2 linked regions of the Lepisosteus oculatus genome follow. The protein of the gene in region 2 interacts with the protein of the main gene of each other region in a biochemical or structural test. Links are inferred from orthologs where the notes say so. Each region holds a gene or a part of one and is shown on either strand. Other genes may lie near its edges. The genes, in order: kinase suppressor of Ras 1 and mark3a.

Region 1 (12,226 bases), on a different chromosome or scaffold from region 2:
CCGAATATAAAACACCGAGCAGACAGTTGGCAGTCCTTGCTGCATGGCTACACACGCTAATGCAGATGTCTCTCATTACTGCTCTTCTTTCCTGTTATTCTCTTCCCGTTCCCCCAGACAGCAGCAGAGTGGCAGCGTGAGTGTCCCCTCTGTAATTGCAGGCCCTATGTCCCTTTATAGGGGGGGAGTGGTGGCACTGTGGCTAAGGATCTGCGCCTGTGGCTGGAAGGTTGCCGGTTCAAATCCTGTGGCCAGCAGAAGAATCCTACTCCGTTGGGCCCCTGAACAAGGCCCTTAACCCCAGCTGCTCCAGGGGTGCCATATAAATCTCTGACCCCAGGTTTCTCTCCCCAAGCATTTTTTTATCACGCAAGATCATCCAACAAATGTGATTTGAATACATGGTTAAGCAGCTTCTATCTGTTTAACTAGGTGAATTAGGCATTTATTTAAGTATGTGTACAGAATATGATTTTATCCCTCCCATTTTGCCCATTCGGACAGTGAAAATACAGCTGGGTGCAGTATCTGATTGTCAGGTGTGCATACACTAAGTCTGAAACAGTAAACCGAAGCTTCTGTTTCTCAGAAATTAAAGAATTGTCCTTTCTATTTGCAGAACTCACATCTCCACTTGAGAAGAGCTCACACAGGACTCCTGTTCTAACCGAGGAGACTAAGAAAGCAGGAGAACTAACAGTGCAGCTTTAGGCTAGTTTTTTGCATCATTGTCACAGTGCCTTAAAATGAATGCGGTCTCTGCTATATTGCTTGTTGGCTTGCTTGCTAAATTTCTTTTTCCCCACTGGGTTTCTTGTCCTTGTGCAGAAAGCACAGTTTCATGGGAAAGGGCTGTGCGGTTGTAAACAGAGTGGTATAAGGAGAATTCTGCTCCCTGGCCCCTTGACCAGAAGTGTGGTAAAAAAACAACAGATATCCCTGTCTCCGTCTCTGTCTTATTAAGATATCAAAGAGCATGCCAGGAGAGAACAGCCTCATGGGATACCTCACATTACCATCCAGTGCTATAAAACTCTTCCAACTTTTTCTTTCAACAAGAAGTACATCTTTTTTTCACCTAATTGTGATGGAGCAAGCTGAGGCTTTGTTAAAACCTCTTCCTTCTCTGAAGTAAATTGGACACACCTGCCTTGATTGATTAATTGGACTGCTGTGCAGAAAAGGGACCATCTGATTGGCCTGGTCCTAAATTGGGACATTCCTCAGGAGTATCAGCAGTCAACTGCTATAACAGCAGACAGGTGCCAAGGGTAGGGTGTGGTGTCTAAGCTGAGCCTGGTGGAGTGTGTTGGGGGTTCCGGGGAATGAAAGTAATGAGTTTGTATTGGCAAGGAAGAAGAGAAATGGAGAATGTGGGAGTTTGGCAGTGATTTGTGTGTTCCAGCTCTCTCAGTGGAACGGAACACTGAAGAGTTGTACCACGTAAGAAGGGAAGCTGGAGATCTTTTTGGAATGAATACCACTGTGAAGGACTTGTTTTTTGGGATTGTGCAGGGTTCTCTGAAAGGGGACTATTGTTATGTCTTAGGAGCCTGGTGGGGTTATCTTGAAATACTCATTCACTTTAGGAGTGCTATGGTGGTTCAGGGCTACAGTCTGTTGGAGGTTTTCATTCCTCACTCTAATATACTCAGGATGAAAATGCACAGTTAACAGTGCTGTTCAAAATCTCCCTTTCTCCTGCTTCTGATCACGTAACAGGCAGCAGTCCAAGATTTTGAATTTCTTCACATTTTTTAGATGTGTTTACAAGGAGAGTGAGAACTGGAACGAAACATCGTTCCTGGAATCCACGATCAAGTTGAAACCACTAGCCAGTAAGCTTGTTTTTTTTCCTACAAAATAACTCAAATTAATCGTTAATTCTAACAGTTTCAAACAGTCTATTCGGCATTTATATAATCATGGTCTTGACTAACGCCCAGCTCATACAGCGCTTTACCAAGAAGTTCGTACTCCATGCTGCTGACGCAGTTCCCCTTTAATGTAGTTCTGCTATTTCCTGGTTACCAGTGGTCAGTGTTCCAGTAAAGATATTGACTGGTTTGCCTTATTCCAGTGAGCTGGTTACCAGCGGTCATTGTTCCAGTAAGATATTTACTGGTGTGCCTTATTCCAGTGAGCTGGTTACCAGCGGTCATTGTTCCAGTAAGATATTTACTGGTGTGCCTTATTCCAGTGAGCTGGTTACCAGCGGTCAGTGTTCCAGTAAGCTATTTACTGGTATGCCTTATTCCAGTGAGCTGGTTACTAGCGGTCAGTGTTCCAGTAAGGATATTGGCTACTGTGCCTTATTCCAGTGGGCTTCTTTCATTTCACTGGCACAATGAGAGGCAGTGAGGTTTTATGCTGATTCAGCCCCTGTCACTGCTGCAGATCTCTGATTTGTGCTGTGCTCCATGCCTCATGAACTCCCTGTGTTTTCCTGTCTTGTGGTTTCCTGTAATGTAGAAAGAATCAGATCTTGCCAGGGGGAGGAAACTAAAAGAGACATTCTTAGCACTGCAATTGCTCAGGAACAAAGAGGAAGTCTGTTTCCAGAAGCAGCTTTTGTCAAGTGCTGGCCTTTGTATCTGGGCTCCCTCAATTTTGGGATTTGCTGTCAATAGCATTGAAAAAGTCACACGAAAATCTATGGAGCTCTAACATAGTTTGTCTCCCCTTTTCCGAATAGACAGACATGGAAATTATTCATTTTGACTTCCAAATGAAGCGAGTGCAGTAGACCTATAGGAGCTCCTGTATGTGTTTGCACATCTGATATAGATGTATTTATTGAAGCTGTTATGCATTGCTTAAAGTGTACCAACTACACCATTTTGAATTAAATGCAAAGGTGAGCATGTGTTCAAATACACCATTATTAAAAGTATGTGTTTGGTGAAACATAGCCCTGAAATTGAATGACCTGTATGCCTGTGCTAAATTAAATGTGGGGTGTGTGGTGGGATCCTGAGATTGCTTAATGCAAATGTGTGCATCAAGGAGGAAAAATGAATGAAAGTAAAGAAAGAATATGGGGCATGTATGATAACAAAGAACACATAAAGAATAAAAAGCACCACACATATGACCAGATTCCAAAGCGGTTCGGAATGCTAATGGAAGGAAGCTCTTTGTTTTTGGAAGAGCATCTTCTCTCTATGCTGTAGTGCAGTTTCCTGCTCTGCAGTCTGCCTTTGTTCCAGCAGTGCCGATACTCCTCCCACAGAAAAAACCCTTCATTAAGAGGCTCACTGACACCAGGGCCTGGCAGTGGTACCTGACATATGCGGACTGATCGTGAGACACTAGCCAGGTTCCTGCTGGAAATGAATACATTTTCTTTGTGCACCATGAACTTGATTATCAGTAACTGGACACATGTGGTCTAGTGCAGATTGTGTCAGCACAGCCTTACTGTTCCAACCCTCTCTGAACACTGCTTCTCTAGAATCCGTTCCGTGAAGAAGAGATCACAAATCCTTCTCACTCTAGTGTTTCAACTGTATTTGATCTTGGAGTCTGGCAGGAATTTAAGTCCAGATCCAGGACCAAAAGTCATTCACTCACACAGCGCTCAGCCCCTGCCCCTGATATGTGGTATTACCCCAAAATCAGAAGACTTCAGTGTCTGAGGGAAAGATTAGTATCTGGTATCTTATTCGAACCTTCAAACAAAAAACTTCTCCCATGCATCTTCAAGCTCAGGTTTATCCTTGCTGTGAAACCCTTGTTGCAGAATTAGTGTTTTTCATCCACTTTGACATTTACCCTCTCCAAAGTTAGTGCTGTTTTGGGACAATCTGTGTGATGTGTACAACTCAAATAAATCTCCCGGTCGGCCTCTGAGAGAGAACACAAACTGGGCTTTGTCTAAATACTCAGACGCTCTGTTGTAGTTTCTTTTAGATTAAGCACGTTCACTATGGACACTTTGCTTGCCGAAGCTGTCTGATAGGAAAAGACTACGCTTGTTCTTTTTTCCCTGTGGGCTGTTCTGTAATGCAACCACAGTTCAGCAAACGCTTTTAGATGAGCCATGTGCTGTATACACTCATCCCAAAGCAAGGCGCTGTGGATGTTCCTCTCCCCATGGCTGAGAGTTAGGAAGTATCACAGGACTTCTTATGAAACATCACTGGTCGATAACATAATAATTATCATTATGGTCCAGGTTAGGATACCTTGTACTTTCTGTCTACATAGTTTGCACTTTGTTTAGGAGTCACAGAAACAAAATAACATCTTTGCTTCTAAGACGTTATTGGGAATCCTAGGACTTTCACTCCTGCTCTGCACATCCTTTTAAAAAAACTCCAGTACATTGAAATAGTTTCATGTATCCTGGAATCCCCCTGAAATGTTTTCCCCATTTCATGCCTGTTGAAACAACTTGTTGTTTCCTGCTGCAATGCTGACCAGGCTATGTGGTCTTTTATTAGTTTGTTAGAGGGGGATTTGGGGATTTTCCACCCTCCAGAGGCCTTAGAGGTTCCAGAGATGCAAGGCCATCTTCAAAGGTCTTATCAGGTTTTCCATGGCTAATATTGAATTACTGTAAGTGCAGCAGAGCATAGAGAAGCCAAGGCAAAAGCATATTAAACCACAGAGGAGTGTGATCAGACATTGTTCGGTAGGCGTCCATGGAAGAGCAAAGTAATTTACTGTGTAACTATTCAGTCCCCTATCTCTCCTACAGCCCCTCTGGCCCTCTCCTCTGCCACTTTCTGTACCCCCTCTCTGCTCCCGCACTTTCCGAGCATCCTCCTGCCCCTCCGCTCCTCACTTTTGGCATGAACTGCCCCCAGAAATCAGACCTGCTCAGGCCGTGACCCCTTCACCACCTGCTGTGTTTAGACAGTTCCTGTGGACTCTCAGGTGCCGTCTCCCGCATTTCCCGGGCTGGCTGTGGGGCTTGTTCGTTACGCCCGTTGGCTGTAGACGCAGAGCTCGGGCCCCCAGGCTGCCTCCACGCTGTCTGAGTGCCGTTTCTTTTTTGCCTGGAACTACTCCTCCAGGTTGTGTCAGCTATCTTTTTCATCGCGTTTGCTTGTCATATACTGTTTACGTGATCGTTACAGTACATTACATATGTATTTTGTAAGCTGTCATGGATAAGGGTTAGGCCGGCATTGCAAATAAATAAGACCGATGATGATACCAGCAACAACAGTTAAATGTAATTCATGCATGACGTCACCCAATGAGGAAATGCAGTTGTGCTTGAGTATTGAGGAGTTGGGCAAAAAAAGCTTTGGCTTCACTTGCTAAACTGAGGATGGACCCCCAGGCCGGAGCAGGAGGAAGTCAGGACCCCCTGCAGAGGGAGGAGTTACCCAAGGGGCAGCAGCACAGGTGGAGACGGAGAGGAGGAGGGAAGCAGAATGATGTCTGCGAGGAAGAGGGCGGGGCTTCCTGTGGTATTTATAGAGTTTTCAGGAAGTGATCCAAGTTAGGAGTAGAAGAGGTCGCTGTCATCCCTCCTGGCTGCCAGTTAAAAAGCCCACTGGCAGTAGCACAACGATGGGAAAGCACTGCGGAGATTGACCATGGTCACGTTAAAGGATGCCCAGTGCTCCTGGAGAGAGGTGTTTTTCAGTTCAGCTGCTGGCAGAGAGGGCTGGTTCTTAGGCCTGGGTGTGCAGAATGACATTACCCTGTGGAAAAGCCCTACAACACAAGGGATGCAGTCAAGGGCTTTAAATTGTTAGTCAACATTATAATAATAGCATATCTGCCAGATTGAGCAGATGTGTGTAGGAGTGTATCAAAGCGGTGTCTACAAGGCACAAGGCATTGTGGTTCTCCAGCAATTTCAGTAGGTGTATTGTGAGTGTTTTGGCTGGAATCGATCCTTAAAAGACAGCTGCAGCACGCCGACCACGAATTCTTGCTATGGGGCAGGAATTCCAGATTAATCCTGGGCTCGCCGCATTCTGCAAGCATCGTGCTAGAGGATTTATGTTTATTGAGGGATCTAAAAGATTAGACAGTAGATATTTTCTAACAGACTTACAAGGTCATCGACGCAAACAGCAAGAGGGGGCTGGCAGAAGCAGGGGCTGCAAGTGGGGCTGTTAGATGTCAAGGGTTTTTCCCAGTCGGCTGTATTAAAGCAGATCTTTTATCGCCTTTATTTAAAGGCGGGAGGTTTGCCAAATCTCCCACGTCCACTTACAACCTCTTGGTCATTATAAACTGGATATTTCGGTGAATTAAAAAAAAACAACTAATTCATGTACTGCCTGCATTTTGGCATTATGTCTCTGCTCCCTGTCACTTTTTCTTTCTAAACGTGTGAGTTTAAATATACACGGAGTTGTGAAAGGGTGATAACTGAACTGAAACCCAAGGCGATGACGCAGCATGAGGATAGTAATTAGAAACCTAATACGCACAAGCGCCTGGATTTCCAACCCAGTGATCGCATGCAGCCGAACCTGCACAGCTGATCATTATACAGTTCTATATTCTTCTGTAGGACTTTCTTTGAGCTTACTACCACCCGCGTTCGTCAAAACAAAATCTTGACAGTATGCAAATTCCGTAAAAAGTCACCCACTGTCTTCGTCTTAAATGTTTTAGCCTTAATAAGAATATACTTCTTTTCAACTCGACTGCAAAATGAAATTGAAGAAGAATCCGGGGGGGGTGGGGAGATGAAAACCTCTGAAGAAATTTGTGAGCGACACTAATTGTAGAAAATCCTTTGTGATGGTAATAGAATACGGGCGTTCTAACTCTAAATAAAGCGTTTATTCATTTGGTTTGTTTCATTTAATAAATAAACCAAAATGTATTTGATTTCTATCTTGTTTTTTTAAAAAAATATTTTTCACTTCTACATTCGCTCCAAAGCTTCAAAAGAGAGAGACCCCAAAAACTACATCTCCCAGAGTCCAACGGGAGGCATTATCTTAGCAACAGCTGACAGACGGTAAAAGCCGAAGTGAAAAGCTGCCAGCGAGAGAGCGGAGTCAGCAGGGCGGCTGAGCTTCGCTGCTGCTGTCAAACTAACACACAGCAGGACTTGGGGGCTTTTTTTTTTGCTTGGACTCTCGTGTTTGGCTATTTCCACCTTCAAATTGATGATACATGTAAATATTTCTTCGACTTTAATTCGGGCATGTGATTAAGCCAGGGAATTATTTTTTAACCATTTGTGTGTGTGTGCGCGGGGGGAAATTATTCAATTTTTCGTCTCTCTAACCCCCCAAACTACCCCCCCTACCCTTCCTCCTCCCTCCCCCCCCGCCCCCCACCACACGCACACACACACACACACCACCCCCCGCAAGCCGTGCCCAAATGCCGAGGAATGGACACCGAGTCTGGCAAAGAGGGGAACATGGTGGAGAGTGACGAGGTGCCGGAGAGGGCGAGTGGCCGCGACGAGGCGATGGCCGCGCTACAGCAGTGCGAGCTCATCCAGGACATGATCGAGATCTCCATCTCCAGCTTGCAGGGGCTCCGGACCAAGTGCGCCGCGTCCAACGACCTTACCCAGCAAGAAATACGCACTTTGGAGGTAATGAGCGAAGCCGCAGACCTTTACGCACAGCAGTTACAGTGCAGAGCCCAGTGCGCTCTCCTGCAGGAGCTGTCTCAGCGCTTCATAGTCTCGCCTCGCCTGGCTCGGGGCTTTGCGCTGCAGTGTTTCAGTAATGTTGTGCAAGGTGATCGAAATGTACGTTGAGCTGTACTTTGTGATCTTTCCGCCCTCCGGAGGAAAACAAATCCACTTTAAAGCACGTCATCTCGGCGACTTCGTGTGTGGTAGAGAGAGAGATAGGATAGGTGATTGTTGGTGGATCTGAAATAAAATACCAGAAGAAGGAGAAAAAACAAGAATGCGCTTCGAAAATATAGCGTCCCTGCGAAGTTGAGTCTTCTGTTTTGTTTTTGTGTGACAAGATGAAGGTTGCGCATCTCTGCCACGGCACAGTCATTTGTCAGTTCGGTTCTTTTGCGCAAAAGACTTGCCCCGCTTTCATAAATAGAAATCGCTTCTTCTGTAAATTAAAACCCGCCCGGTCATAAACTGTAGAGTTGGCTTGTGCAAGGGGCTTCACTCTGAACGCGTTAAGAGGAAATATTAAATTATCCGGCTATCATCAACTCTCAGTAGCCGTCCGGTAATCTTTAATTGAAGGAGATATTCTTTTATTTAAATTCGTGACATTTAGGCCCGCAGAGTCAATATCAAAGGTCTCTCCGGTTTTAATTTATTAATGGAGCAATAACCTATTAATTTAGATACTGGAGAAGCCTCTCAGGAGAAAACGATGTAAATATGTCAGGGCAGATATACACGTAGGGGAGGTGGTGGTGGTCGGGGCAGGTGCTGGTTTGGATCAGGACAATTGCTGTATCACAGTCGGCGCAGTTGAGCTATACGTGATCTTAGCCATTACATAGGCTTAGTAAGTATATGCAGTTTGGACCTTGGTGAAATGCGGCGCCGGTTCGTTTTTATCATCCCGATGTTATGTCTATGTTGTATAAGGTCTCGAAGAGTCAAGTGGAACAGTTTGTTAGTTGGTTAATTTCTGCTGTAATTATTGTTATAATTGTGTATGGACGTCTTGATGGTCTGTAATGGGCTGAACCTCAGGGTTTTACTGGTATTTATGTCTTACCTAATGTTTTTAGGGAAGACCTGCTGCAGAAAAAAAATAGCTTTAATCAAAAGTAGTTTTGTGTAAAATCAAGCCATAGAGATTAATTCTACAGCATTGCTGTCCAGGAAATTTATGCAGGTATTCTTTCAGATGTGAGTTCATTTATTAACCCTCTACCTGCTTTCTGAGCATAAGGGAGTCGACAGCAATTTTTGCAATTGTTTTAGAGTACTGCATGAGTGCCAACACCCCCTCGCACACACACAAACACAAAATAACAAAATATTTCGACACACCGTGGTCACAGCTGACCGAGCTTCTCAGAAAGTCCCAAATGAGGTGGATAAATTCCTGAAATATCCGCAAAGATGATTCCAGGAGCGCCCCCCACACCGGACTCCAGGACCAGAGCCCGTTCTGAGCCTGCTCAGCAGAGGCAGGAGCAGGCCGGTGGAGAGGAGAGAACGGGCGAGTGAAACACGGCCCTGTTGCGACTGCTGTTTCACGGAGATGTTTCAAAGGCAAATGAGATAAATTCCTCAGACGAACAAGCCCGCGGCAGTGGGAGAGCACGGTCAGTGTACCCTCTCCGTTTACGCTCTGCTCTAGAGAGGTTGCGCCTGTCTTTAAATACCCGTCGCCGAGGTTTGCGGAGGATACAGTGGGGTTCATCGTCCCGGAAAGCAGTAGGGTATCCGCAGGGGACTAGACAGCCAGTCCTCAGGGCTTCTCCAGCTGCCGCGGTGCTGGCCCCAACAGGGCGAACCTTAACTCGCTTCTCTCGTCAGGGCAGCACCCCGAAAATCTTGATGTGGGTTGGCAGGAACGCGGCTGAAACAGAAACGGTTAAAATTGGGTGGGTGGCCTTGAGCTGGTCTGAGCCCACCTGGGGCGGGCAGACGGGAGGGAGTCATCTCAGTGGGACCTGCCTGCGCCCAGGTAACTGCAGTAGCCCCTCCAGAAACTCCTGACACCCTCCTTGAGCACTGGTGTTGTTCCAGGGGTCCTCATTACCCCCATGCCAGAAAAGCCAGACTTGGCTCTGGACAATCGAAACAATTTTTCGCCCCATCTCCAACTTACCCTTGCAAAAAATCTAGAACGTGCTGTTAAAAATTCAGTTTAATAACTACCTCATTGAAAATAATCTTTTTGAACCCCTCCAGTCTAGCTTCTGACAACGTCTTAGCACAGAAACTGTCCTGGTCAAAGTCACTAACAGACTTCTAATAGCTTCTGATTCTGGTTTTCTTAAATGCTTTGAGAAGCCACCTTTAAAGGCGCTATATAAATAGTCTATTATTATTATAATTAGTGGTTTCCACTGTGTCAGTGTTGGGGCTGGCTCAGAAATGCCACTAGGGCATGTTGAGGGTGCTGAGATACTGGAGCATTCCTTCATAACAATAGTCTGCAGCTCCCACCAAATATTCCTCTAACGGGAAGGCCAGGCCAGTTACAGGGAGAGACTAAATATTTAGGCATTTAAGTGTGATACTAATTTATGGTTCTAAATTCTCTTCCATTCCCAAGATGCATTGAGCTTGAAAGTGACAGTGTTGAGGTGGGCTTTACTTTGGCAACACTAATGCCTAATTTGGCTTTACTGTACAAGAAAAATGTTCGTTTAGGAATAAAAGGAGAAAGTAGTCAGACTAAAGATCTGATGAAAGGGCTACTTTTTTTAAATGGTTGGCACTCAGACATATTTCAGATATACTGCAAAGTCACATTAATTAGCAACTTAGGAATATCAAGAGTGGGTGTTTGTGCTTTGCTGTCTTCCCAGAATGTCTGTCCCATTTTCTGATTTGACATAATGTAAACTTGAAGCTAGATTATTAGGAATAATTTAGTTTTCTTGAAGTGTTCTTACATGAAAACAGGGAGAGAAAGTGTCACAATGATTTCCGGCAAAGTGTGCCTAAGCAGTTTTTTTCCCAGTGGGTTTAGTGAAGGAGTGATTTGGCCTAAATCTTTGACCAAACAGTTTTAGAATTAAACTGTAAAATAAAACATGTTTTACAGCATAACCTCGATTTTGCCACATTGATACATAGGAGAAAGTTGGGAACTGGGATTTACCATGTAAAACTTGGGTTATGAAAGCTAAACACGAAAGCACCTTATGCTTTACATTCCTGAAGTAGACCAATTGTAAGAACATCATATTTAAAACCATTCCAATTATATTCTTCAATATAAAATATGCTTGTTTCTTTTAGATATGCCTAAAAATGCACTGAAGCACCCCCAGAAACTCAACTGTCTGTATTTATCTAAGAATTGCTCAGGTGGAGTTTGTTTGTCCCTGTACTCGTTTTGTATCTGTGTTGAAAAAAGATCAAGCCTACCCTCTCATTTTGTGTTTGTTTTGCCTGGTTTGTTGCTTGAAGTCATAGAGGTCCCAACATAGCGCTTAAGACATTGAAGAGCAGGTGTCACGTTGCCTGATGGAAAGCAAGATTTGTCGTAAAGAAATGGCTAGCAGCCTTGTCACTTCCAGGACATTACAGATGGTTCTTTCTGCCAGTGCTGTAATTCATTGCCTATGAATGAGCTTGTTTCCCTTGCTGCTGAGAATCATATGAGGAGACAGGAGGATCAGCAGCACCAAAGGCTTTGCAATGGAAGAATGGAACGGAAGGGTTAAGGCTTACAATTGCTGTCAAAAAGTTTCAGCCAATGGGCTTCGGCCAAAAAGCACATGGCCACACAGAGAGTGGATCAGCCTCGCTTGTCCTTCAGTCTCTTGTCAGTGCAGACCTTCTGAAAGAGCGATCAGTGACCCTTGGTCTAGTCTGTGTGTGTTTACATGCTGTGTTGGCTATGTTGGTCCTGCCATAAATCATGGCTCTTGTGGATCAAGCCAAGTTGGAACACTGTACTTAAAACTTGAATTGAAAGTCTGTTAGGCTGCTTTTACCTGCACCAGTGAGCCTTCATGTGATGCTGCAAGACTCAGCTGAGCATACACCAATTCTTCCTTGTCTTGTAAGGACTGCCTACATGCTGAACCATAATGCTTGTTAGAATAGACATACAGTACAAATAAGTTATGTTTGGAGTTCTTTGTTTATGAAGAGATGTTTAATGGACATTAGGAGAATACTTGTTTAGCTAAGGTGTCCCTTTTGTTTGCTCTAGGATTGTCATGTACAAACATGACTAGTAATGGACAGATGACTTCTTGTTAAAGGAACGTCTTCATTGCCTCTTTATGATCTGGCCTGGTGGCATTTCTGGGGATGTGCAATTGGAGGAGACCCATATATGTTCACTCGCTTGGGCACATTTTGCTTTAGGGGACGAAATGAATGGGGTTGCAGTGGGAAAGAGAGATAGTCACACGAAGGCAAAGCCGTTACTAAAGCATCGACCTTGCAGAAGGAACACTTTCTGTGAGGGGGCTGTTCTTGTCGCAGGCGTGACGAAAGGTCTCGCTGTTCCTCGTCCTGAAGATGTCACTTTCACTTCTGCTTCCTGTTCATGCAGGAAGTCCATCTCCTACCTGCATTCCAGAGCCCACCCCACAGGGAAATTCCTGCTTTTAGAGACAGGAAGTGATGTGGGCAGTGCTGTAGAGGGATGTGCAAGTCAGC
Region 2 (12,199 bases):
TTTGACTCATTGAAATTTTACTTGATTTATACTCATAAAACTGTACTGTGTCCCCCCCCAAAAAAAATAGTTTACAGTAGTATTCTATTGTAGAAAACCAAAAGCAATGGTGGGTTAGTTCTTCATATTTACATGATTTTGGAAATTAGGCTTTAAAGAGTTGAATAGTCTCATTCATTTTAACATGAATGTGATGTTGAATCACTAGATGCTTTAATATTATTCATAGCAAGGCGTCAGTGGCACAGACAGTATGAGTCACTCCTTCTTCTGTCCACTTGTGGAAATTTTAACACCCAAGGCTAAAGTTCAGGTGAGTATTTTTCATCTCAAAGGTTTGTGTAAGTGGATGGTGCACATTGGTGGTGGTGGAGGGGAGTCCCCATTACCTGTGAAGCGCTCTGAGTGGAGTGTCCAGAAAAGAGCTATATAAGTGTAAGCATTTATTAGTATTAAGGTTTTTTAAATGATTGATACCTGATGGAGGACGCAATGCCCTTCTCCTATGATAGGGATTCCCAGTCGTGATTCTGGAGGAACATTGTCTGCAAGTTTTGCTCCAGCTGTGTTCTTCATCACAGACTAAATGGTTTCAGTCTCCTGTTCAGGGCAAATTTAAAAAAAAAAATTGCATTCAGCTCTTAAATGTTCAGATGGGATCTGTAATTGGTAGCAACCCCTTTACTAATTTCTGACTTTCAGAACTGCCCTCATCTTATGTGAGCTGCCTGAAATGTAGCCAATTGGCCCTCTGCAGAATATAAAAAGCTCTTTGCGGAAATAGGGGATAGTGTCATTCCCCACTGTCTGGGCACAACAAGTTAAACAGACAACTGAACAAGCAAGAAGATCAAATGATTATGTGCGAAATTAAAGCTGCAGTAGCAGAATTTAATGAAAGACAATTTCCACATGTGGGTTTGCCCTTTCCTTACAAATGGTTCTTGTGCGCCACTAGGGGGCACCGTGCTCACATATGTATGGTTATCCGAAGCCGAGGCGAAAAATACTCGTGAAATTGAAAGGAGGTCACCATTCAATGTAATTGATGTGTTAGCCAGGGCCACTCCTCGTTTTTCCTATCCACTGAACTACAGTTCTTTCTCCATGGTGTCACAGGTCTCGGGAGTGGAAGCCCAGCCCGTATGTGTTTCGTAATTTTTCGGTTCTCTTGTTTAGCAAAAAACAAAAGGCTCCCCACTGTACTTTTGAGGTGATTCATCCCTTAGCAGGTCTTACTCACCGGCGAGAAACTGTTCTCATTCTCTCTCTCTCTCTGTGTCTCTCTTTTGCTCTTCCTTTCAGTGTGAAAAAAGCCTCTGAGCCACACAGGAAATGTAGCGTGGGAGGAGTAGCGTATCCTATCCCCCCTTGAGAAACAGAAGGCAAGACAGAGAGAGCAAGAGAAGGTGGTTAAACACAAAAACTGCAGAGAATACTGCTGAACGCTGCACACGTTGAAGCCAGGACGTCACATTTCAGTTTTTTAGTCTGCTTGTTAATAAGGAATTTCGCCATATTCCTCTGCAGTTTTTTCATAGTGCTAAAATGCCTCGCACATGAACATCTGAACAGTTGTCTCCCGCAAGATGGTGATTCAGATATTCTCCCTAGATTGTTCTTTTTGGATTTGGGGTTTCTTTTCAGCTGAAAGTAAATTCTCCCCCGGGCACATCATGCTTTGCCGTGCAAAATACATTAGCCAGTGTGTGAAGAAAACATTGTTGTTCCAGGAGAGCCTCTTCTTCATCCCCTCACGAAGAGACTCCTGTTGTCATAGCAACCTCACATCTGGATGAAGCTGTGTGCACAGCCAGCTGTCTGATAAGAATGGAGCTGCAATGATGTTTTTCTTAATGGTTATCCCTGTCCAAGAGCTACCAGAACTGTACGGCACTCTGATAAGACTGATATTCTGTTCACAACAAGACTAGGAAACTTTTAGTGCCTGATTTGATCTTCTAGAAACATTTGTCATTTTTACCCAGAGACTGTATTCTTTTCACATTTTGCAAGGTGATCTATCCATCCGCCTTTCCCTCCATTAATTAATTAGCTCTTGTCGTATGACAGTAAAAGGAATCATCTTAAAACGTCTAATTAAAACTTTTGTACTGTATACAGTGGTGTGAAAAAGTGTTTGCCCCCTTCCTGATATCTTATTTTTTGTCACACTGAAATGTTTCAGATCATCAAACAAATTGAAATATTAGACAAAGATAACACAAGTAAACACAAAATGCAGTTTTTAAATGAAGGTTTTTATTATTAAGGGGAAAAAAAATCCAAACCTACATGGCCCTGTGTGAACAAGTGATTGCCCCCCCTGTTAAAACATAAATCAACTGTGGTTTATCACATCTTTGGAAAGCTGAGTTCAATTTCTCTAGCCACACCCAGGCCTGATTACTGCCACACCTGTTCTCAATCAAGAAATCACTTCAATAGGACCTGCCTGACAAAGTGAAGTAGACCAAAAGATCCTCAAAAGCTAGACATCATGCTGTGATCCAAAGAAATTCAGGAACAAATGAGAAACAGAGTAATTGAGATTTATCAGTCTGGAAAAGGTTATAAAGCCATTTCTAAAGCTTTGGGACTCCAGCGAACCACAGTGAGAGCCATTATCCACAAATGGCAAAAACATGGAACAGTGGTGAACCTTCCCAGGAGTGGCTGGCCGACCAAAATTACCCCAAGAGCGCAGCGAGGACTCATCCAAGAGGTCACAAAAAACCCCAGAACAACATCCAAAGAACTGCAAGCTTCACTTGCCTCAGTTAAGGTCAGTTTTAATGACTCCACCATAAGAAAGAGAATGGGCAAAAATGGCCTGCATGGCAGAGTTCCAAGACGAAAACCACTGCTGAGCAAAAAGAACATAAAGGCTCGTCTCAGTTTTGCCAGAAAACATCTTGATGATCCCCAAGACTTTTGGGGAAAATACTCTGTGGACTGACAAGACAAAAGTTGAACTTTTTGGAAGGTGTGTTCAGAACAGGAACATCATACCAACAGTAAAATATGGTGGTGGTAGTGTGATGGTCTGGGGCTGTTTTGCTGCTTCAGGACCTGGAAGACTTGTTGTGGTAAATGGAACCATGAATTCTGCTGTCTACCAAAATATCCTGAAGGAGAATGTCCGGCCATCTGTTTGTGACCTCAAGCTGAAGCACACTTGGGTTCTGCAGCAGGACAATGATCCAAAACACACCAGCAAGTCCACCTCTGAATGGCTTAAGAAAAACAAAATGAAGACTTTGGAGTGGCCTTGTCAAAGTCCTGACCAGAATCCGATTGAGATGTTGTGGCATGACCTTAAAAAAGTGGTTAAGGCTTGAAAACCCTCCAATGTGGCTGAATTACAACAATTCTGCAAAGATGAGTGGGCCAAAATTCCTCCACAGCGCTGTAAAAGACTCATTGCCAGTTATCGCAAACGCTTGATTGCAGTTGTTGCTGCTAAGGGTGGCCCAACCAGTTATTAGGTTTAGGGGGCAATCACTTTTTCACACAGGGCCATGTAGGTTTGGATTTTTTTTCCCTTAATAATAAAAACTGAATTTTGTGTTTACTTGTGTTATCTTTGTCTAATATTTCAATTTGTTTGATGATCTGAAACATTTCAGTGTGGAAAACATGCAAAAAAAGAAGAGATCAGGAAGGGGGCAAACACTTTTTCACACAACTGTATATTAAGTCACAGTTAGTAGCCCTGGACAGCTGTTTAACCCTTATTAGGGCTCATCAATGCGACAAGAACTAATCAGTATTCATACCCTGAACTCAGACTGGTACCCTGAACGTAACCCTGGAAGGAGGTCTGTGGAACAGTTCTGTTAGCTGTACATCCATCTCCGTATATCTCTGTCTCCTGACTCACCAGCCACCAAGTGTTCGATGCCTGTCAGTTTGTGTCCCTCTCAGGAGCTGACTGGGTATCGCGGTGGCATCCTTGTGCTCGTGGCAAGTTGGCAGCCCGTCTGCTTGTGTGCCTCCCTCCCCCTGGACCGGTACTGCCCACACCCCCAGAGAGGGCCACCAGCAGGGCAGGCAGCAGGCCTGCGGACCCTGAGAACAGGAGAGCCGCAGCCGAGAGAGGGAGGCTGCTCTGTTCTCCTTCCAGGAATCCCGACTCTTCCCTGCCTGGAAAACAAGGAGATGAAGGATCTTCAGCGGAAACAGGAAAGAAGCCCTTCATCCAAGGGTGGCGAATGCAGAGCGGAAGTTGATGAAAATGTCATCTGGTCCAAAGTGTGCAAATGTTTATACTGGGGTGTACACACTGCAGCTCGGGCCTGCCAGCATCGCTCCTCAGGAAAACCCTGTCCTTTTTCTGACTCTTTTATTTACTATTGTTCACAGCATTTCAGACGGTGTCCATGTACAGCATCAGCCATGTCATTCCTAAGGCCCCAGTCATGTCAGGACTGTTCTCCTGTTAATGTGAATTAGCAAAGAACTGTCAGCTTGCAAAACACTTGACAGGACATCTTATACACCTTTCTAATTCTGCAGGAAGGGGAAGTAACAACAGTATAAAGAACAGGCATGTTTTTTATAGTTAAACTGTTTCTGTTTCTCGCCAATTCTCTCATACGGGCAGGGACACAGCAGTGAGCTCCGAGCTGAAGTAAAACGTGGTGTTATCGAGTTTAGGAAATAATACACTCACTTTTGTGTGGGACTTTTGTAATGCCTTGGGCTTAGCCTGGTGTAAAGAATCCTGAAGGCCTTATTTTCTCTGTGCCCACTCTGTGGTAGGGGAATTAGATGTGTAGTAGGGCAATTTTATCATTGGGAAAATAGACCCCTTGGTTCCACTCAAAAACATTGATTCAAACGTACCAATATCTACCACCTGTAAAATGACCATAGCATCAACAACAATGATAACACTATAAGTAGAAAGACAGCTGGACAAAGAGAGGGAAAGCCTGTAAATATCGCTCGTCAGTTTGCTTTTAAATACACAGTCGGTGATAGAATGCAGGGAAGCTGGTTCTTCTTAATGGAAATCCAGTTAGATAGTCGCTGTAACAGCTGAATGCCTTCTTTTGTCTCGGATGGGAGGGGTCTTATTCGAAGCTTGTGAGACTGTCTCTGACCCACACCCCGGCCATCTCCAACCCCCCTGCTGTGTATCTTTGGCATGTGATCTGCTGGGAGGCTTCGGGGTCAGGGGTTACGACAGAATCAAGGACTGGTTATGTACAACAGACCAAACTAAAGGGATGTGGGAGTATGATGTTCTGTTGCAGGAGGGTCTAGTTGTTTCAGAACTCTACCGGGACTGACCGACAGTAACCTGACATCGGGCAGGTCCTGGGATCTCACCCCGAGTGTGACAAGCCTCTCGTCCTGCTCACACAACATCAGCCTTCTTGTACATCGAACCCCGTGATGCACACTCTGCGTGCTCCAGGCGTGGGCCCCCCCGAGCGTCTGTGGCGCAGGCCCAGGCGATGTGTGGCACCTGGGGCTCAGAGCAGTGTGGACAGGCATGTGCTTGCCCAGGCCAGAATCCCACCGGACAGCATGTGCAAACCAGCGCAGAGCTTGTGTAGCTCCGCCACCAGCCTCCACACACACACACACCACACGCCTGTGACTTCCACAGCCGGACCCCCTGTTGACCCACCCGAATGACAGCTCATGTTCATCACCACCGTGACTTTACCTGTGCCATCTCTGTTCGGTAAAAAAAAAAAGCCGGCGCATCACGTATTGGTTACTCACAATATTATCGTTATTATGAAGGAGCTTGGGTCTGGGTTTCTCACTAGTTCATTCTGAACTGTCTTCCAACGAGGTAGAATAGCTGCAGAAAACAAACACAAAAAAAGTCGATGAGTCTAAATTTATATAATCTATAACGCATAACGCATGGCGACGAATACGTGTAAAAGCCCTCTGTATGTTGGAGCTAAGTTACTGGGAGAATTAAAAAAAAAAGGACGAACCTACATTAGGCGAAGAAACATATCTATTGTAAGTTACAATATATATACAATGTATGTACCAGTGTGGGTATTTATTGATCATATGACGCATCATTTACAGTGCAGCTTGCGTTCAGGACTGAGGAGGGCACAGAACTGTGTGACTGAAGATGGTCTGTTGAGAAAGGAAGTAACAAGCCTTGTCTTGATGTCTTGTGCAGTTATTCTTCATATCTTTTTTTTTTCTAACTCTCCCTCCCTCTGTCTCTCTCTCTCCAATAATCACCCTAGCAACAACAAACAGCGCTGCTCGGGCAGCAGCGCCAATAAGCTCCGAAGGCAGTCTGTTTCCTCACTTCCTCTCGTCGTGCCAGGGCTTGGCTTGTTGCTCTCCAGCCAGTGGGCAGCCATCTTGGATCCTGCTAGCAAGCAAAGCTTCACCTAGGGGAGATGGGAGGAATCGAGCCGGCAGCGGGTTTTCCAGCTAGACATCACGCTTGAAGCCCAGGGCGTTGTGCTTTGGGGGCCGAGCACTCAGCGGACCTACAGCCCCCGGGGGGTCACAGGCGGGCCGGTCACAGTTTTGGCGTGCACCCTCCTCTCTCTCTCTCTCTCTCCCATCCCCTTTTCCTTGTCTGAATTGCAGTGCAGGAGGGCCTGCAAGGTGTTCCGTGTGTGTTGACTTTTTTTTTTTGGTGGGCTGAAAACTGCACAAGGCTCGGCTTGTGCGTCTGTGCGTCTGGAGGGGGAAGAGAGAGTCCGGACAACTCGCCTGAAACGGACGGTAGCGCGGAGACATGAAAGTGTTTTCGTCGGGCTTTGTACGGAAACAATTTTCTTTTATTTTTCCCGTGACCTGCGAGAACCCAACCACCACCACCACCTCTCTTTTTTTAGGTGTTCAGAGCCGGCGTTTTCGGGTGTCCCCTTAGCTGAGAATAATGCGGTTCGGTATTTTTCCCTAATTAGGCTGCGACCGGGGGGAAACCAATCAAGAATTATCATCCGCTGGTGGTGGGAGAAGCTGGGTTCAAATTGCCGCTGAAAAAAAAAAAAATCTCCCCCTCCCCACGCCACCGTGGAATCCATGGTCTTCATCAGAAACCCAGAGAGAACTGCCTTCCTCTCAGCCCTCTGACTACGGGACTGCAAAAGCAAAAGACCGAGCACGGGAAACTTGCACGGCCGACACGCCGACGAGCACCATGTCCACACGAACACCGCTGCCCACGGTCAACGAGCGGGACACTGAAAATGTAAGTTGTGCGCTACGGTGTGTCAACGTGTTGGCCAGCGTTTGTCACTGTGGGGTTCGTGGTCTTGGGCTCGCTGCTCGCCGTCCCCCCCAGTCCTCCCAGTACTGCTCAGGGCGGCTGTGGGGTTGCTGTCGGAGGATGCTCTGGCTTAGGGAGGCTTGAATCGTTTAGAAGAAACCTCCCCTACTTGATTGTACCGTGTTTTATTTTCCTCAACGATCACCGCTGCCCAAGTATCATCACTTGTGCGAGAGCGCTCATGATGTATTTCCTGGTATCCTGGTGCCCCCTTTTTTTTGTGGGGGGGAGCCGGAGCTGGTGTGTGTTAAAAAAAAATGACTGACGCATAGCCCGCTTGTTGCTCAAACTTAGGGCGCGGAGTATCGGTTTCTTTAAATATGACATTTCCATCGAGACGGGCTAACACGCCAGATAACTAGTAATTATCCCCCGTCTCTGGGAGCCGGAGCCGGCGGCTGCGCAGTGTGGAGGCTCAGTCCCCGCAGAGCCGGAGCTCACGATGGGTGAATCATCTTTTACTCCTCTTTCTTCTCTCTCTCTCGTCCGCTCCCGCCCCCCATCAGCCCGAAAAAGAGGATTTTCACACGTTTGTCGTCCACCCCCCCCCCCAAAAAAAAAAACACACACCAATCTTCAGCGTGGACCCTATTAAAAGGAAAAAAAAAACTCGCGGAACTTCCGTTTTCTGTTTTCAGAGTGGGGACTGTGGTGGTGTCCTTTATTAGAGAGTGTGCAGGAGGTGCCCTCAGGTTACCTCGCCCGCTCGGAGAGCGATAGTTGCCGGGCCAGAGCACGACAGGTCCCCTGTTTCGTAATGAGTGGGGCGACAGCAACAAGTGGTACACCCCCACCCCCACCCCACCCGGAGGGGATAGCACCCCAACATCCAGCTAGCCTTGAAGCGGCTGGTGTTTGGCGGCTGAAAACAACTCCTCCTGCTCCTGCTGCCTCTGAGCTTGAACCCAGGCTGGCTGTCTTACCTGTCGGCGTGGGCGGGCTGTGGCGTGGGGGGGCACCCTCAGTGGGTGTCAGGATCGGAAGTGGCCTCTTCTCCTCGCTGTTCCAATGAGGAGCGTGTTTAGTGCCCACCCCCGGGGTGGTTCGTGACAGGTGCTGGGATGCTTCCTCACCGATCCCAGCGACAGTGTGAGAGCAAGAGACAGGCAGAGAGAGCAGATCAATGAGCTTCCATCACAAAAGAGAGAAGGCAGTCTGGTTTAATGCCATTCAGAGTGCCAATGACAAAATGAAGGGGAGCCACTTGGTGAAAAGGCATCGGATCTCCATTGTAAGTGAATCCCATCTGTGTCTTCACTGTCTTGTCGCGCCGGACAGAGGCTGAGGCAAAGGGAGGTTCTGTGGCAGAAGTTTAGAGGATGTTGAATTCATTCGTTTTCGACAAGTAAACTGGTACAAAAAAGTATTCAGGACGGATACTCGACGGTGTGTTGGTTTTGCTGACAAAAATAAAACACATCCGTGTGTTTTATTTGCACTTTTAAAAAAAAAAACAAACGAAGCAGAAGTCTTTTCGCCGTCTGTCTGCGTTACAAAGAGGGAGATCAGTTGCTGTGTTTGGCTATAGGATGCTCTGCTGAGATATTACAGCATATACACACATGAGCTGTCTGCACTGGGAGAGATACAGCTCTGTCGTTCAGCTGACACGCTTGTATCAAATGAAGGTGCCGTTAGGTAGCGTTGTTGGCGGATGCGGTGCTTTTATTTCTTATTTGCTTGTCTCAACCAAGGTGAGATGTATTTGGTTAAAGCTAATTTCCCTAACAGCTGTTTTAATGCAAATGACTTGTTGAGGCTGGCGCAGCACGGTCCCGGTCAGGCTACGGAACGAGAGGCTTCTGTAGAAAAAATGCGCCTCGACATCCTGTTGTTTTTCCTTTCCAGTTGGAACGTTTTCCTTGAGCCAATGTAAGATGCTGGAAACATTGGGTTGGCACAGTCTGAGAGCGTGTGCGATCCCTTGATTCGGTCGCTGGGTTTTCTACTTCCTCAGAGAGCCCGATTAATAGATTTCTGGTGGGGTTTTATTTCCATCCAGTGGAATGTCAGGAAGGGGGAGAATTGGGAACAGGATTCCTAGCCATGCCGGCTTTTGGCTCTTTGGAGTTTTCCGTTTGAAGGTAACGTGGAAAAGCACTTTCTTTCCAGTCTTGTCATGTTGCTTTTTGCCTGAATCAGGAAATATTGTTGATCAGGTGAAACGGCAAACTCTAGGCCTAACGCAGATGAACGAAGAGGTTACTATAAAACGAATCCACCCCAGGGATCTGTAGGTGTCTCAGTATTGAGCTGATCTATGGATCATTTGATCTAGGCTGTTTTATGATACTGACTGGCGCTGCCTCCGTGCCTCAGTCATGTCACCCTTGAGCATTTCAGTCCTCTTTTATTGTGACCGTGAGAGATGTGCATCACGTGCAATTGTAAAGTTAAGTTCTGTGAGTTTTACTCATTTGAGCTAATGCAGCTTGAGCACTGTATTCCTGCTTCCAGGATCAGGATATCTGCCGAATGCCAGCTTGTATGATGCTTCAGCAGGATGGTGATGATGCTGGGCTGTTGCTATTAATGATTGTGGTTTGTCAAGAGAAATTCCTTCATTGGTTCCCTGAGTACTAAATTACACTAGATTGTTTAATGACAGGCATTTACTTTATCAGTGTAGGGTGGTTACTTGCATTTAGCTAAGGTAGTGATTTTTATTTTAACTATAATCATGTTAGCTTAACTGCAGGTACTCTAGAATTTAGCTGTTTTTTTTTCCATACCAGTACTCTTAATTTTATGCAATGTTGTCGTAATGGTAGGCTTTTGCACTAACAAAAATCGGTGACACTTTCACAAAAATGATTTTAAGTGGTTGGGATGCGGTGATTTTGTTTTTAGAACTATAGGATGTAATTTACTTAAATAAGAGTGACCTGGGGCTGAATTATCATGGTGCCGTTAACTATGGACACTGAGTGTGTATGCGTTGCAATGAGAAATTATGCACTTGAAATGAGCAGTACAGCAGGCTTAGATGAAGAGTCACTGTCATGTCACTCTACAGGACACGGTGCCTTATTGATGATGTCATGCTTCAGGTGAGAGACCGAACCCTCTGAAAAGCACTAACTCTTGCAGTGGCCCTTTCAGAACCCCTTGTCCTGCTACCCAGGAGTTCTGGGCCTTGCTCATTGCCCAGGTTCTGGGAGAGCTCTGCTGAGTCGGGCTGGGGTTGTACAGGCCTGCGCAGGGCACACAATGGACAGGGAGAGCATCGTACACCATCGGTACACCAACCTTAAACTAAACGCCATTGTTCCCTTTCAGCTTGCTCTATCGAATTTTAAAACTGCAGCACTGTGTTACGCGTTAGAGATGAGTTCTCCCTGCTTCGATCTCATTTGGTGCAGGTGTTGAGGCGTATTAACCCGAATTTCTAAATCGGGCATTTCCGAAGCAGGCATGTCTGTGCACTGTTCCCAATGTCTGCATTGGAAGGGTTTTAGAAATTCCCCGCAAACTGGGAGGAGGGTAGGGGCAGCCCAGCCTGGCATGGAAATTAATTTGTCCCGTCAGTTCAGTTGATTCATCAGGGCTTGTTGAATCAGGTGAAGTGTTTCAGACACACAGGTCTTTGACATTTTAAGTTGAACCTGTTCACGGGCTGCAGCTCACCAGCCGACAGAAGGGGATACATACTCTTGTATCCCCTAAGAAATGTTTTTATGGGAACTTTAACTGAAGTGGAAAAAAAACACATCTCGGTTTGGGAAATGCTTCAGTAAAGGCAGATTTAACACAATAAGGCCATTAAGGTCCTGTTAAAATGAGGTGTTTAAGTAATAATAACTGTGATTGAATCAGAACGAATTAGTGTAGGCACTGTATGATGCTTGTGTGGCTGTTTTTGCCACTAAACTGGAAGTACCTGGAAATTGAAGGGTTTTGTGAAGTGATCACTGCAGCAGAGACTGAGTAGGAGAAGATGACTGTTCCCATTCAAACGGGATTAGTCAGGAAAACGGTATCTGGGAGGTGCTGGTGGAGTGGGTTTTTCTGTGGCTCTGTCAAAGGGCCCAGAAATGACCTTTTCCGGAAGGGGCCGAGAGTAATTTCAGTCCAGAGCTGGTTCTTACTGAAGCACTGTGAGAGATTGATTTGTTTTTTTTGTTTTGTTTTATTTGAGGCAAAACCAATTGTGAAGGAAGGAATCAGTCAGTTACTTCAACCCCATCTACTTTTATGATTTAATATGTTAGTGCCTCCAAGTAGACTTTAGATTTCCATTTGAGAATGTGTCCTTTTTTAATTGATAGAGGCTGGCTGGAGAGCTAGAGGCTTGCAGACGTCGGCGATTAGCATTTGATCGGTTCCTGTGTGTTTTTGATACACTGTAAGCTTTTTAAAACCAGTGCTGTTCTTGTGCTGTGCTCTGTGGTTGGTGTTAAAAATAAAAAAAACAAATTCAAGCTTTATTTATAACCACTGATTCTGATGACCTAATGATGATCTGATTTCTTACTGAAATGAAATTTAAGATAGGCCAAAACCCTTAAATACAGCATTACAGAGCTCCAAAGAGCACTGTCTTTCTCTACAACATCTGTTCCCGGGGGTTTAGAGAAGTAACTAAAACGTGGTGCGCACGTTGTTGCGAGGGAATCTACACAGGGGAATTGAAACTGAAAAACTAAATCTGACTTTCAGAAGCATTTGTTTTGTCCCAATTCCTGCTGGATGTGTCAGGAGCCTGTGAGGTGGGATCTTTTGCCGCCCGATGTTGAAAGGAACTGAGGGTGTGTGTGAGACACTTCCCAGGAAATTCTTGTTTCTCCATTGCCTGACTTTTGCACCCAAGATAGTCAGCGTGGCTTTCCATTGGTAAAATCTCTTAAAATTTTTTAAGCTACAGCAGTATTATTGCCACAAACATCAAGCTAGGTGCGTTGAGGAGGATTTTTAGGAGGACTT

What was found.
Region 1: of the proteins of mark3a (region 2) and kinase suppressor of Ras 1, one has a biochemical effect on the other in vitro, tested with the Homo sapiens proteins (2 studies listed by BioGRID). The link is inferred for Lepisosteus oculatus from reciprocal best matches to the Homo sapiens genes MARK3 and KSR1.

The regions. Positions count from the first base shown.
Region 1 is NC_090721.1:7,004,729-7,016,954, forward strand, and holds the start of kinase suppressor of Ras 1, read left to right. Parts: upstream 1-7,201; 5' UTR 7,202-7,321; coding exon 7,322-7,531; intron 7,532-12,226.
Region 2 is NC_090703.1:6,777,533-6,789,731, forward strand, and holds the start of mark3a (MAP/microtubule affinity-regulating kinase 3a), read left to right. Parts: upstream 1-6,288; 5' UTR 6,289-7,147; coding exon 7,148-7,198; intron 7,199-8,199; exon of another isoform or gene 8,200-8,952; intron 8,953-12,199. UniProt on the Homo sapiens protein: Serine/threonine-protein kinase. Involved in the specific phosphorylation of microtubule-associated proteins for MAP2 and MAP4. Phosphorylates the microtubule-associated protein MAPT/TAU. Phosphorylates CDC25C on 'Ser-216'.